Oreochromis niloticus: one gene and its partner. The protein of the gene in region 1 interacts with the protein of each later gene in a biochemical or structural test. Links are inferred from orthologs where the notes say so. Each region holds a gene or a part of one and is shown on either strand. Other genes may lie near its edges.

Region 1 (7,822 bases):
AGCTTTTACATCTGATTAGTCCCAGCTGTGTTTCCACCTTTTTCCCTATCCTCTCGTTTCCTACGTGTGTATTTTACTCCTCAGTCTTCCCCTGCTTGTTGTTGCATTGTACCCTCACAATGCTGTGTGTTTTCCTCCGTGTTGCTAGCTGTTTCCGAGTTTACTCTTCCTGGTTCGTTTTCTTGTGTTCTAGTTGAAGTTTCTAGTTTCCAGTTTCTAGTTTAGTTTTGTACTTAATGTTAGTTTTTACACCCTGAATAAAGCTGCCTCCTTTAGTTCGCTCTTTCGTTGTCCATGAGTCCTGCATTTGGGTCCTACATCCTGCCTGCCACACAGCGAAACATGACACCTTATTGTAATAAGTGTACTGATTTTGCCTCTGATATATGCCCTCCATACAATAATGAACAATAAAGGCTAAAACTAACAGTGAAACTAATAAAAACTAAGCTAAAACTAAACACTTTAAAACACAGGCTAAACTTAACTGTGGACACTAACTGAAACTTGAAAACTAATTAGAAGATACAAAACTATAACGCTGGTGTGTGGAAGTCTGAGAAGATTTTGAGCTTTTTTTATAACCAGCTTCGAACAGTTTCCAAAAATAATGCAGACTCTCCTGCATGGTGTTCTTTAATTTTTGTGTTTCCTGTGTACTCTGACTTTTGTATTAAGAGCAAATTAAGGAACACTTTGCCTCAATTTCCTAAGTTCACTTTAATTCCCGTAAGTCTCAGAGAGGGATTTCCTAAGGCTTAGCAGTTCTTCCTGTTGGACTTCAGAACTGTCTGCTTTGATAATCTGCCTGCCTGGTTAATATTTTAGAAGAAGACAAACAGATTTGTTTGTTGTATTGGCTAATGTTGTGTAATTATTACAATGAGAAACATCACAAGCACTCACAGAAACATTAAGAGGCAGACTATGTTATGGAGTAGTGGTACTGTTGTTTTAAGGATAACAGCATCTTTTGCATTCATCTGTTAGCAGCTGGGTTAATACGCACTCACCCTCAGACTGTTTCCCATAAGCCACACCGTGTGGGCTGATGCTATATGGGCTGGTGGCCATGTTTCTGAAAGTTACAACAATCGTCTCCCCTTCTTCTGCCCTCAGTGTGGGACCAAGGAGACCTGCAGAGAAGTTTATTTATGTGGAATCATGTCATTTCAAAGGCTTCAGTTCATCACAGGGACAGACTTGGATAAACGCAGACTGACTCATCACTCTTTCTCTTTAACTGTTGATTTGCACAGCAACTTAACCGTAAACATTTGCAATAAAATGAAAGTAACCTTCTTTTTTGTAAATACAGCTTTATATTTTTCCCTCTTGCTTTCTGGGAAAGGAATTATTCTGTGACTGTTATTTCACCATCCTGCTAAGAAGATATGATTTGGCACCACATAAGAGGTGGAAGGGAGAAAGTCCAAAAAACATGAAAAAACACTACCTCACCATGCTGATGTCTTTTTGGTGTTTGTAAAAACTGAAGGAATTCACCTTTTAATTCAGTTCTTTCAGAGAAAAATTAGCAAAAGTAGTAGCTGCTTATCCATTAATATGCACTTGGAGTGATACATTAAATTAATAATAACCTTATGTGTCCTGAAGATATAAAGAGTGCATTTGATAGCGACTGTCTGTCTGTGTTTTTTTCCCACTGCGCGACACCGGGGCACCTTAAAAGCTCCTCAACACTGATTCATTAAGTCTCTAATATACATGCATGTACATGGTGACTGCTTTCTGGGAACGTTATTGGTAAATACACCCCTCTATCTCACAGGTTAGTTAATGTGCAGACAGGGCAAGTGTTACTTAAAATTTTAAACCAGACATACGGTGTGTTCATGTAAACCACATCATTTACCTAACCATGATGGATGAGTCTTAGCCTGTCTGAAGCCTTTCTCATATTCCCGAAAGACCACTTTCTTATAGGTGGGACCAGACCTAAGGCAGGGTGGAAAAACACAAAACATTACTCATTGGGCACACATAAGAAAATCCCCACATTACATACACAATGATGCATAGACTCTAAGATGTGAAATTTACTGATTTAACAAGGTGTGACTACTGATTACATAATAAAATGGAGTTTTAAAAATACAATAATAATGTTACCAGACACAAAAAAAACCCCAAACCAAAAAGAATTCCAGTCACTCTGTATCAAATTTTGAAGTGCTGTCCTACCCGTCTGTGTCGTTGCCAGAGTATTTCCAATCTATCTCCACAGCAGCAATGTAGTAATGTCTCTCCTTAGGCTGAGGCTGGTTTGCTTTGACCTGGTGGGCAGTCAAAAGAACCAGGACAGGTAGGAGCCAGCGAGCTCCAGCCCGGACACGGAGCCTCATACTTACGATCAGTCCTCCAGGCGAGTGTGCTCTCTTCTACAAGTCAAGAACGTGGGAGCTGACAGAGAGTCTGCTGTGTGCTTTATCTGCCACTGACACACGTACACATACCCACACTTGCTAGTTCAAACATTATGTCCTAGGGCAATGAACTGCGCCTCTGCATATTTTTTTTTCCCTTTTGCAACTGGAACTACATGTGCGTTACTTCCCGAAGGGTGCTGATTCCCAAACATCCCTAAAAATTTTCAGTGGGAATGAGTGTTGGAAATCTGATCGTAAATTTCTCTGACCTAAGAATGTCCCAGAAAATCACGTATGTGTAATAGGTGTGGGCACGCGTCATTTTGGTTTACCCCAATTTCACGCAGTTGAAATACTGTTAAATGTAGCCTAAACTCATATCTGGACATTCACTTATTTGTCAGTGTTTACCAGTTTATTATTATTTTTAAGTAAGGTGTGACTTAAAGTCTCACATTTACATCAAACAAAGACAAAAAAAAATTTATTCTCATACTCACGCTTTTATTCGTGTATCATTTTTCTCTTGTCTCTTATTTCCCCTTGTCTCGATTGTACTTTATTTTCTTGTCCGGTGAACATAAATACAACGGGATGACGTCGTAACCTGTGTCTTAACGCATGCGCAGACCAACCAGGAAGCGCCAGTGTTGACGAGATGGAATCCCTCGGTTATGTTTTGTACTAAAGAAGACTAGCAGGCAGGTATTTATAACATTGCCCTGTTTTCTCATGTTATGGACAGTGGCCTCAAAAAATAATTTCCGAATATTTAAAAGAACACGCGTGTTGTATCGGTGTTTATTGGCACAAAGGTGACGATTTAAAGGCTAGTGATGCAAGGCTACCTCTGTGCTTAGAGCTGTGTGTTGAATTTTGTGTGTTTGAACAGTCTAACTTACCGTGCCGACAATTTTCGGGTGATTTTTAAGTTTTATGAGTATTATTGGACATGGCAATGGAGTTTAAATTATCTCAAAAGCTGGAAGTTGATTTAAAAACTGTCGACTATTTTTGCCGTTAGATTGTTTTGTTAGTTTTTAAGTCAGTAAGTCTTTGTAAAAGTGAAATATAACTACGTATTTCAGCAAAGTGTCGGTGTTTAAATTCTGTGTATTTAGGTCTGTGTAGGTTCTCAGACGCCAAGGTCAAGGTAATGTAAGTCGCGTTTTTCTCCAAACGCAGTAGATTGGAAGAGTACAAAAACACGTATTTCCTCTTGTGAGTCGGAGACGAAGTACTGTATCAAATAAGCTTAAAATTAAAGCAAGACTACTTTTAAAACATCATTCAATAGTTATTATAGTTATCTGGTGTAATCATCATCATTATTATTATTTTTTTGTTAAATTAGTGAACAGAACCCCCCCAGCACCAATACTTATTTCACTTAACAGGGAGTGGTGTTTTTTTTTTTTTGGTTTTTTTTTTTTTGTTTGTCTTGGTGAAATTGTGGATATACAGTACTGTGCTAAAATATTGAGGTTTCCCTCATTTTTGGCTATTGGCGGCTTTAAAAAAAAAAAAAAAATTATCAGTCCAGTCGTTGTACCTGATTATTTTCAGAGGAACTTTTATTTATTTATTTTTGTTTGTTTGATAAGCCACTTAACACTGACCTGTGAATTTTTCAAGTGCCCAACTCAGTGTTGTGTAACGAACAACTGAGCAAAGAGCCAATTTTAAAATGTATTTCTAGCCACTTTATTACTTGCAGCCTCTCACAAAAACACAGATTTTGTGCCCATTTATTTATTTGAATATACAACAAATGCCCAGGATAATGCTGTTTGACAGGGACAAAATTGTATTTCTTGCACCAAAGAGGTGTTAGCGGAAAACCTGGCATATCTCAGTGTGGTGTCCAGTGTGTCTTCACAAGCATTTAAGGAAGGTAGACAAGTGGAGGACAAAAGAAGAAGTGGCAGGCTTAAAAACCTGCCCACAGCTGATTAACAGTATCTCAAAGTCACGTTTTTTAGAATCAGGGTGAAAAAATGCAGCAAAGACCTGACACAGGACCCGAGAGATGCATCTGGGGTTGCAGTTGATCCATATACTGCTTACTGAAGCTGCATCAGAAATGGTGGCTTCCTTAATGACTCTTAAGGAAGGGAAATTGGAAGAAAATGTTATGGTATGCCAAATGACACAATAACCAGACTGAAAATCCATGTGAGCCCTGTTGCAACAGTGCTTATTGAGTCATAGTTTGACAGAGAATAAACAAAAACAACCAACATCCACATAAAACTCTTGGATTACTTAAAGAATTGACCTGAAAGCTTGCCTGATACAGTTGAAGGTTTCTTGAAAAATAAAGGTCATCTTACCGAATATTGAAATATAAGATAAGGGGGTATTTAGTCTCAATGACACGGTCATCTTTGTATTGCATTATACTGCGTTGTTTCTCCTCATAAGCTGTTTCACAGATGAGCCATTAAAGGAAAAGCCATCACATATCTCTAAACAGCTCACACAGCATAATCAGAGTGATATTCTTTTAACCAAATTAACCTGCAGTGTTGTTTTTACTGTCTCGTATTTAATCATTATTTCTGCAAGTTTTAGTTTACACTTACATCCTGTCAATGTTGTCTTTTTAAAATCTTTATCTTAGTCTTTTCAGAGACACACACAACAGTTTTAAAAATTCTTTGGCAGTATAATAATCATAATGTAAAGGGTCAGTTTGATAAACATGTGTGCGTGCATGTTTGTATGTATTCCAGCAGGTTTGGCTGCATCCATTTCCAGTCGCAGCCATGGCGTGCTGCCCCTTGTGCCCCAGGCTGTGCTCCCGCTCATCAGCCTACACTCTTGCTCTCGGGCTAGGCTTTGTAACCCTGGGGACCAGCCGCATCCTACTTCTGAAAATGTCTGCCAATGCTGGTGATTACCTGACAGTAAACACATGCACAACTTTTTTTTTTTTTTCACAGCTGGATAAAAAGATTTAAAAAACAGTGTTAATTTTTCTGGCGTGCATTACAGTGATGTGTTGGCAGCTTGCTTAGCACGTGTCTTCACTTTTTGTTCTGTTTGCAGAAAACAAGTACGACTTCCTCCCAGCATCTGTAAATCTGCTTGCCGAGGCTCTTAAACTGCTCTTCTGTCTGGTCATGTCAGTCAGGGTCATAGTCCGAGGTAAACATTGATGTCTGCGTGTATGTCCTGGTTGGGATCAGCTTATGTTCTGGTTTCATATCACATCTCGAGGTGTTTTCACACCTGCAGTGTTTTGTCTGTTTAAATCAAACTCTAGTTCGTTTTCCCCCCTTGGTGCGGTTCGTTTGTGCAGGTGTGACTGCACTCAGGAGCGGATGAAAAGAACAGCACCGAGACCCTTTGGAGGAGGTGGTCTCGGTACAGTTCCAAATGAACTCCGGAGCACTTCGTTTATGTTGTGAAGGTGTAGTTTGAGCTATAAAAAACCCCCCATCCCATTGCAATGTATGCTTTGTAATCTCAGCATCGAAAGGTACTATAGATGTGCAAAGGTCTGTACGAGCTAGCAGCTAGCCATGAAATAAATGTAAATTCTCTGGGTTCTCAAATAGCCCAGAACACAGCACCTTCTTCCTGCGTTTACTTTTGTTGCTCCCGTCCTGACACATCTGGCTGCTGAGCAAACTGCACATTGTCACATGGTTTGTAGTGACGCAGTTTGGTTTGCATGGAGTTCACTTGAATTCTTCTCTGTGTGGAAACAAACCCAATCACAGGGAAAAGCTAAAAGTTTACAAACTCATCAAGTGATTAGGACCAGAGTAAACAAGCACAAACACCCTCAGTTTCAGATATCTGGGCAAATTGCTTGAATGTGGAAGAAGTTAAAAAGAAACTAAGATAGTGTTGTGTGTGATTAAGTATGATTACAAGTTCTACAAGTTTGCCTATGAAAATAAAGAAAAACATACCAGTTAAATATGGCTGATCTGTTTTTAGGACCATTATTAATGAATGATTAATTATGTATTATTTATTATAAAGTCCTGTGTCTCCAAAATTTTGGGGCCTTACCTATTAGTTTATCATACATAGGTGTGGCTGCCTGTTGAAATTATTTTTAGATTTCAATATACCTGCTGGCTTAGATCATAGAAGGCACTAAAAATCTAAACTAATGAAGTCTATAGGAGACAGGTTAGTGAATGATGGCCAGTCAAAATAAGGTCAACTCTCCAATTAAAGGTCAGTGGCAACAGGAATGTTGAATTAACCATTACAAAATGGAAGGGATCGATAACCTGGGTATTAGTATTTATCATATCTCGAATATGACAAAAACCACGACAAGTCTTACAACTAATATTTGTGTTCATAAGTTCATCCGGCCTCATTCTGTGTTCCATGAGTGAAGGATGTTCGTTGACTCTTTCTTTCTGTTACTACAGAGGGCCGATCATGCAGAGATTTGGGTTGTGCCTCCAGCTCTTCCTTCCTCAGCTCCCTGAAGTGGGCCGTCCCTGCTTTCCTTTACTTTCTTGACAACCTCATCATCTTCTATGTTATGAGCTACCTGCAGCCCGTTAGTACAGATAAGATATTTAAGATGTTTGCTAAATGATAGCTGCTAGAGGGAAATTTGGTTGCCTGGACTGCAAATTTTTTAACCCTTTGTTAACATCCAAATCTCATTTTCCAGTTTGTAGATTTGAGCTTTTCATATCAGACTGGCATTAACAAAATGTCCTGCACGAATATTTGATGCTTTAAATGTGCTGAGCTGCTGCTGTTCTGTTTTGTTCCCAGGCTATGGCAGTGTTGTTCTCCAACTTTGTCATCCTGACCACAGCTGTGCTCTTTAGAATTGTTTTGAAGTAAGTTTCTCTTTTAACTCAACTGTTCTTCAGAAATATGTTGTGTGTGTTTGATTGTAGAATGAGAGGTGATATCATAAGCTAATAGATTAAGCGTCATTTGTTTTTTGTTTTTTTACTTGGCCTTTTCCTACAGGAGGCGCCTGTCTTGGGTTCAGTGGGCAGCGTTGGTTATTCTCTTCCTGTCCATCGTTTCCTTGACAACAGGATCAGGAGGCAAGCAAAACTCAATAGCTGTTCCCAGTCTTCACTCAAACCCACTTTCTAGCCCCTCCAACTCTTGCCTACTCTACACCCAGCTTCTGGAGGAGATGAAGAACAGCAGGTAAACGTGAAGCATGCAGGATTATTTAACCTTTACTTAACTAGGAAGTAGATCTTCGGAGATTTAAAATGTTTTTGAAGCAGAACAATTTTCCAGAACAAGATGAGCAGCAGCACAAAATAGAACAATACACACCCAGTGAGCATATTTATACACATGAGATAAAGAATAAAGTGTAGAAACTTAAGTTAAATATTTCAAAACTATGAAAACATCATGACAGGTCACACGTGTGAGGGTGCACAACATTTATCACTGTATTCAAATAATTTCTAATCACC
Region 2 (7,882 bases), on another chromosome or scaffold:
AAAGAGGGCAAATTTATCAGTCTGACTCAGTACATGTTTGTGAAGACTTTGAACTCAACATGCAGTGGTCAGCCTGAAAGACAAACAGTGACTGGTTTGCCCACACACAGCAAAACAAGATGCAGAGAAATCAGGCAACGATAAGCACGGACAGTTTAAGCATGTTTTTACAGCTCTGAGCTACGAGCCTGCTGGTGTGTTTACAACAATCAGGATGAACCATCTTTTCAGATGTTAAAAGCTTTCCCCTTCTCTTACATAAGGAGTCACCTCAGGTCAGCTTTGAAAAAAACAAGTGATGCGGCCCCAGAGGGCAACAGCTGGGGGAGCTGATCTTTTTTTTTTAATTTGTTTTGCAATGCATCTATATGAATAAATAAAAAAGAAAGTAATTAGAATTATATCCCGTGTGCTCAGCTGCCGTGTAAAACCGTAAAAAACAGAGCTGGCACACACGTGACACAAACAACTGTATATAAGGAAAATCAGTTAAGCCTAATTATTATTAAAATGACCATCCAGTAGAGTCTTACCCATGCAGTTGATGTTGTGGGTGAGTATGTAGCCTTCTTCACACATGCAGTGGAAGCTACCTGGGATATTCTGACATATTTGATTACATCCGGCATGAAGTTCAGGATCCGAACACTCATCGACGTCTACCCAGTCGATACGCCACACAAAAATAAGTCAGCAGCAGGTCCCATATAAATAAATAAATATAAATAAATGATCGCTGGATGTATTTTTAGTAAGATATGACGAAAAATGTTTAAAATGCCAAAAGACTAAATGAGAACTCACCTTCCTCACAGCGTGGCCCCTTCCAGCCCTGCTTGCACACACACGTGAAGGCGGCCATGCCGTCCGCGCAGCGCTCTGTACCCTCCTTGTAGCATGGAAACGGCGTGCACTGATTACTGATCTCTGGTTTTGGAAACACAGCATTTGACAGCTACAGAGAAGTGTAACAGGCATATGAAAAGCTTAGTTCGAGGTTTAAGCTCACCTTGCACACAGGTGCGAAGGTTAGAGGGGATGCCGGCATTTGAGTGCTGGTTATTTATGCCGACACGGTGCGAACCCAGACACGCTGCCGAAAAAAATTAGCGTTTATTTGAGACAGTGCAAAAATAGACAAAATAGACAGTGCAAAAATATTAAGAAATGTGACTCATTTAGCAGACTTACCAACATATTTAGGGTAAAAGTATTCCTGCAAAAAAAAGAAAAAAAAGGCTGCTGACAGTTTGGTATTTACTGATAAGGGCAGAAAGGAGAAAATGCAGCTGCATCTTTAGCTTTTACTACTTTACAGCAAGAGCCCAAACAGATGAGATGGAGACATTTAGAGACAAAGTCAGAGCGAGAGATAAGGCTGAGATGGTTTGGACATGATCAGAGAAGGTATGGTGGATATTTTGGCAAAAAAATAATGACTAGGGAGCTGCAGGGCAGAATTAAAAACACAGAGAGGATTTATGGATGTAGTGAAGGAGGGTTGATGTGACAGGGGAGGATGCTAGGGACAGGGTGAGATAGAGGTACATGATCCTCTGTGGTGCCCCCTAAAAGTAGCTGAAGATGAAGAAGCAGTAAATACTTGCAGTACAGATATTTGTTTTTTCCTACTATAACAGAGCATTTTTTCTATTTTGTACAGTATTTTATTCTATTTTGTTGGTACTTTATTCTATTGTATATAGTATCTTGTTCTTGTTGTATAGTATGTTATTCTATTTTATCTTCTCCTATTCTATTGAGTTTTTCTTAACTTTTACTGCTCTTAAACTTGTACTTTCTGCCGTGACCAAAAAATTTCCCATGTGTGGGACTAATAAAGGTTTATCTTATTTCTTATCTTAAACGACTTGGAGCTCCCTAACCACCGATTAACTGTGTTACTAATCACGTTAATTAAAGCTCTGTGCCGTCATAATGTCATTAGTAACACATGCTGGATAACAGCCAAAAATCCAATCCACTGTTACAACTTTTGCTGCTTATTTCATCTTCTTCTTCACTCCCATCTAGTCACTTCAGTTTGACCAGTTGGGCCTGGCTTTCCCTGTCAGCTCTCACCGTCTCCAGTTGGTTCTCAAAGATCTCCCTGGCCTCCTCCTTGTTGCACAGCTCCTCGATGCACTCCCTTTCCAGGTTGCCCTTCTTGCTCTCCTCAAACAGTGAGTTGGCCCTCCTGTGCCTGCTCAGGAACTGCGAGGCTGTGCTCTGGCTCAGGACTATGGGAGACACAAACACTTATGTATACACCGCATGCACGTAGCACATCTTTTAACTGTCAGCTCTGTTTTGAGTCCAACAAACCAATTGCTGGTTAACAAACACCTGTAACAACATTACAATAAAAAGAAATGACTGATGCCCGTAGGAATTAAAGCCTCCTCTGTCATGACAGCTCTCCCGAGGCTTCTGTCTAAATGGATGAACAGGGCAGCTTAATTACTTTTAGATGAATTGGCCCGAAAAGAGGTAGGGAGGGTTATTGCGAAACCGCCATTTCTCAGAAATGACCCCTAGTTGCTGTAACAAGCACTTCACGTTGTTTTCCAAGCATTGTTTCATGGTGAACAACGGAGCCATGTGACCCTCACATATGCTAAAAGGGATTAAAAAAATATTGAAGTCCTGAAACGGTTCCCAGCTGGTCTCATCCAGTCTGTGAACTGCTCTCTTCAAACTGGGACACTCTGACTAAACACTACAGTCCAGCTCAACACGTAAAACCGCAAAACCTCAAGCGTACTTACACCGATAAGCATCGACCAGCGTCACCAGTAACACGAGACAAGCCAGGGGTTCCCCAAGAGCCCGCTTCTTTCTCCACATAGTCGAGCCGTTCCTCCTGCTAGGCCACGGTTTGGCTGCGAGTAGAGACTGGCTGAGCGGCAGGTCCGTGAGGGGAAAAAACTTTATTCTTCCCGAAAGTGTTTTTCGTCGGGTGAGATGGGGGGAGCACAGGCAGCTGCCAGCGGAGCGGGACACGGAGGGGTTGTGTGTGTGTGTGTGTGGAGTGTGAGGAGAGGGGAGGCAGCTAGGGAACGCTGCACGCACACTCACGCGCTCTCTGCCGTTATTTTTTTTAACCGAGCGTGCGCGTGCGGCTCGGCTCAGGCTGAACTCATGCAGAAAATAGGTTTACTAAAGGAGGCCCGAGACACACTGTGTAGGTAAATAACCACAAAACTCTGTGCTCTAGTATCAGGAATAGTAATAATACTTTTAATTATTCTTAAAGTCCAAAATATCATTATACGCCCCCCCCACACACACAGACACGCACACAGATGCCACCACCAAAAAAAGACGAGAAAAAAATGGCGCAAATGTCTGCCCGTTGCTAAGCATCCAAGGAAAGATGGCACTGCTAAACTACTTTTAATGTTTTTTTACTTATTGTATTATTTCACTATATAGTATAGCAGCAGTTATAATAGTAATAATAATCATAATCATCATCGTGTAAACGTCGTTATGTATTTATTTTTTGTCACATTTAATTTGTGTAGATTAGAATATGTAGTAGATTAAAAAAATGTATATTAGGTTTCACATACATTACTTCATTGCCACTTACCTCACTTTATAATTTTATGTGTAACATTTAAATTATTTGTTATGGTATCGTGTGAAAGGTTCCTACTTCGTGTTTAAGGTGGGCCTTTTTTGAGTGTAATGCGCTCTGAGTGCTAATAATAATGATAATAATAACGTCTTTATCAGTATGATGCTACAAGCTTGGCATACTTAGGCAGGGCAATTCTAACAAAACAATATAAATCTGCTAATGTGAGTTTGTACAGTAGACATTACTGATATGTAATAAATGACACAGACACCAGATTTGCATTAATAATTGTTTCATTTGGTTACTCGGGAAAAAAAACACATCACATTTTCACCATTCATTCAATTGTTTTATGTACACAAATAACAGGCTTATTTTAATACTTTTAAAATATTTGTACAAAATACACTGTTCTCCCTTTTATAATATGTGTTTATCTGAAGAGGCATCTGACTGCAAAACATCAGCAGATGCGCATTGTTAATTTGTGATCACTTGACAGGCTTATCGAGGGCTTGTTAATATTATTGCATGCTGAAACACCGTTATTGCATAATTCATTCCTTTTATGGGTATCGGGGTTGGAGGAGTCATACCCACACCAACTTCGCTGGGAATTCTGGGAAGGTTTGAATGAAAGTTATAATAAATATGAGTTTCATAAACCTGAGGAGAGTTAGTAACCTGTAGGGGGAGGAAAACCTGAAAGAGGTTAAACCCAGGCTGCTCTCTTAATATTTTTACTGTTCATAAGACATCTGGGGAGAATAGATTGGCAATATCTTCTTGAAAAGAAACAGTGATTGTATATGAGAGGAAAGAAGGGATACGCTAAGTCAGGCCAAGAGTGAAGTAACAGTGTCTTCAGTATAATTACAGGCAGTGATCTGCCTTTCCTGACCTGTAACACTGTTTGATCAATTGGCAACACAACCCATCACGTCAGTCACATGTGTCCACACTGACAAAAATAAGCACACACCCACATAACAGACACAGACACACACACACCTCATCCAGCTCAGATACACAGCAAAATTTCCGTATGACAAGATAGAAAACAGAGTCAAATTGTTGAGAACCTTCCTTATTTGACCCACCCAAAAAACAAAAACATATAATTGGATTAGTTGTTCAGCTGTTTTACAAACAGTACAGTTGTTTTTTTTTTTAATATATTTATATATATATTTCAAAAATGAACTTTAGAAAAGTGATAACTGGCACTGTTTGGGATCCTGTGACCATGGGGGCGAACACCCGCGAGGCTACATAAGCACATACTTGGATTCGGAAAATACAAAAGTCGTGGTTTGTAGTCGCTTGCAGAGTCTGCTGTCTACACTTCACATGCACTGTCGGAGTGAAAGACAAAAAAATGCGGCCGCCTTTGCGAAAGCGTGGGACAACACAACACAGTTGGCTAGCAACAATAAATCCTGTACCTTCAATAGATCGTGAGGCGCTTCACAGCAGGTAGCTTTTCAGTGGAATGCATATAAATAAGAGTTCAAACGACAAGGTACGGAGGGAGTGGGAGGCTAACTCACAGAAACAAAAGAACCACATTGTTATTAGGTAACCAGCGGGGCAACACAATCAGTCACACTCTATCCATTTCACAATTACAATCTAAGACAGGTTAAAATGTTAGTTTGTGTAATAATTAGAAGTGTATCTGAAAATAAAACATCCCTGTTAATGATCTCATTTGTGATAGCTGGAGGGGGTAGACAGGCTTTTACTTATTTTCCTGCTTACACAGGAGTGAAACAGGCCTCTGAGCTAACGCCAAGCTGTGTGGTCTCAGCCTAGCGCTGGGTGTCGGGGAAAAGTGTCTTTCTGTTTCATTATTAAAGCTGCTTTTCTGACATTAATTATACTTATCCACCATAAATGGACAGTGAGTGATGAAAATTGTGTCTTATGAAATCCATACAGCTGCTCTGCTGTAATTATTAAAGCCAGTTTTGTACTGGACTACACTGTACTCAGAGTTCTCTAATATTCTGTCTCCCTTGTGTTTGTATCAGTATAACGTAGTCCACTAGACTGTACGGCTGTACCTGAAAAAGGACTTGTTCTGCCACATGCACATTTTCTGCATCTAAAGAAACTGGTTTTGAATGATGTAATTTACCCATGATTACAGCATAACCTGTGCGGGCAGGGGGGAAAAAAAATGCCAACCTGGGTACTGGTTTCATTGGGGCATGACGACCAACCAAAACAGATCAAAGCTTAAAAAACAAAACGTGGAAACCTCTTTTGAAAAGGTTTAAAAATGTGGGCTAAAATTGTACGTGGAGAGATTTTTGGTAGCTTAAATGAAGTCGCTTGGGCTGCAAATGGGCCCGATGATCCCTTTTTTCTTTTTTTTTTGTGGCTCTTCCTGAACTTGTATCCCGAAGACGCTGGGGGGAGAGGCTTGAAAGTGAAAGGTACACAGGTATAACATCACCCGCAGAGGGGATAAGCTGCAGTCCTTCCTTCTCGTCTGGAGCTTCGTCCGTCAGACGGCAAATGAAAGGTAACAATTTCAACAACATTTAAAATAACCGCACACAAATCAAAGAGGTAAAAGTCGCTTTCTGAAAAGTGTGCTGTGAGGCTTGTTCGTCCGAAGATTTGGAGGCGATTAAAGTGCGTGCTGGTCACTGTCAGAACTGTCCAGTGAAAACCTTTGTTCTCTCGTCACGTCGCGGAAAGGAGACGGTTCCCTCTTCACTCATATCCCTCCTTTCCTCCACAAGTGCTCCTCTTTTTTCTCCTCCCTCTCTCTTCTAAAAGTGAGGTCTGTTTGTCCAAATGTGGAGCGATGCACTTTGAGAAACTGCAGGTAGGTCCATATACGCGGCTCTTGGAGTTTGGCAATGAGTCGTAAAGTTGTCATTTTCTCAAAACTAGATCAGATCGGGGTGAAAGGTTGCTTTACTTCCACAAGCGTCTTAAGGAAGTTATTTTATTTGCTTATTTTAGACACGGGAAATGCTTTAAAACTCAATACCAGACACAGAGCTCAATTTCGGTGGATTTTTCTGCAGTAGAGAAAAATATGCTGGTTTTGAGCATCACAGAAACCGGATCCAGGGCTGTGGCTAGATGGAGTAGGTGGAGCTCTCAGACTGCTGGCGGATGTAGCACTGGAAACTCTTGTCTCCAATCGGATGCTCCCTGAGGACAAAGAAAAGGGAAAAAAATGTGACTGCAGTGTTCTGAACTAGCGCCTCCACTTTGTTATAGATACAATAAATGCATTCATCTATAACTTAACCTTCGAATACAACACAAGCAGTGGACGTACTGGCTGCCTATCTTTGTCTTCTTGAACTTGTCGCGTTTGTACTTGGTGTGCTGCTGTTCCAGCGTCTGCACGGCTGAAATGATCTGCTTCAGGGTTTTGTAGGTCTCCTGGGGGTCGTCTATGACGAAGGTGGAGTACTCCTCCTGCTCGGGGCCGTCATATACCGACTTACTGCCGCAGGCCTCTGCAGCGGGAAACGGAATGAGAGACGGAAATGTGAAAAAAATACATGTGGGAAGTTTGAAAAGAAAAAAAAAAACATGCGCTTGGCGTCTAACCTTGCATCTTGATCAGTTTGGTCATGTATGTGCTGAACAGGGAGTAAATTCTCTCGGTCTCTCTGTCACCATCTACATCCAGCTGGATGTTTGCCGGGAGGCCGCTGAAAAAAACGAAGCGTGCATGGAATGAGAGAGAGCGGAAACAAAGCACAGGAATGTGAAGCTGTGCAGATGTTAGCAACTTTATGTACCCGGTGCAGGGCGTACACCCGGGAGCCGTGTCTGCTGAGAGCTTGCAGCATAGCCAGTGGCCGTTGAGGTAGGCTGAAGGGTGGTAGGTGCTCAGGCGTTTGCGGTTGCACTGGCTGACTTTGGTCAGGATGTCGATCCAGTCGCGCGCCTCTACGCAGTTGTTGGCCTGGATGTAGAGCGCCCGCTCTGGCTGAATGACCTGGAACATCTGAAGGAGGAGGAGTGTGGGGAGAAAGGAGTGCAAGTTAGTTAAGAAAGTAAACACTTGTAGGAGAGATTTGGGCCCACATGCTCAAACCCTCAAATATTTCACAGGGGCTCACAGGGGGGTCCTTACATTTTTCATTTTGAAAGACTCCTCCTCCAGCCGCTCTACAGCCAGAATGTTCTCTATGGGAATGCTGCAAAGAGCTCCCTCACCTGGTGGGAACAGGAACAACATCAGAGATGGAACTGTTGAGGTAATAACAAACTGGATTGTTATGACTGTCATTGAGATGCGTGGCATTGCGTAAAGCT

What was found. The genes of interacting proteins can lie anywhere in the genome.
Region 2: the proteins of f5 (region 1) and pros1 form a complex in vitro, tested with the Homo sapiens proteins (2 studies listed by BioGRID). The link is inferred for Oreochromis niloticus from reciprocal best matches to the Homo sapiens genes F5 and PROS1.

The regions. Positions count from the first base shown.
Region 1 is NC_031987.2:31,364,960-31,372,781, reverse strand, and holds the start of f5 (coagulation factor V), read right to left. Parts: upstream 3,008-7,822; 5' UTR 2,891-3,007; intron 2,464-2,890; exon of another isoform or gene 2,403-2,463; 5' UTR 2,367-2,402; coding exon 2,206-2,366; intron 1,960-2,205; coding exon 1,877-1,959; intron 1,137-1,876; coding exon 1,014-1,136; intron 1-1,013. Other genes in the region: UDP-sugar transporter protein SLC35A5, read left to right, coding at 5,159-5,285, 5,442-5,540, 6,791-6,924, 7,149-7,216, 7,353-7,541. UniProt on the Homo sapiens protein: Central regulator of hemostasis. It serves as a critical cofactor for the prothrombinase activity of factor Xa that results in the activation of prothrombin to thrombin.
Region 2 is NC_031965.2:16,493,213-16,501,094, forward strand, and holds the start of pros1 (vitamin K-dependent protein S), read right to left. Parts: upstream 3,109-7,882; 5' UTR 2,848-3,108; coding exon 2,769-2,847; intron 2,241-2,768; coding exon 2,083-2,240; intron 1,217-2,082; coding exon 1,192-1,216; intron 1,094-1,191; coding exon 1,010-1,093; intron 928-1,009; coding exon 805-927; intron 660-804; coding exon 534-659; intron 1-533. Other genes in the region: rasa3 (ras GTPase-activating protein 3), read right to left, coding at 6,685-6,760, 6,891-7,074, 7,169-7,272, 7,363-7,571, 7,701-7,816. UniProt on the Homo sapiens protein: Anticoagulant plasma protein; it is a cofactor to activated protein C in the degradation of coagulation factors Va and VIIIa. It helps to prevent coagulation and stimulating fibrinolysis.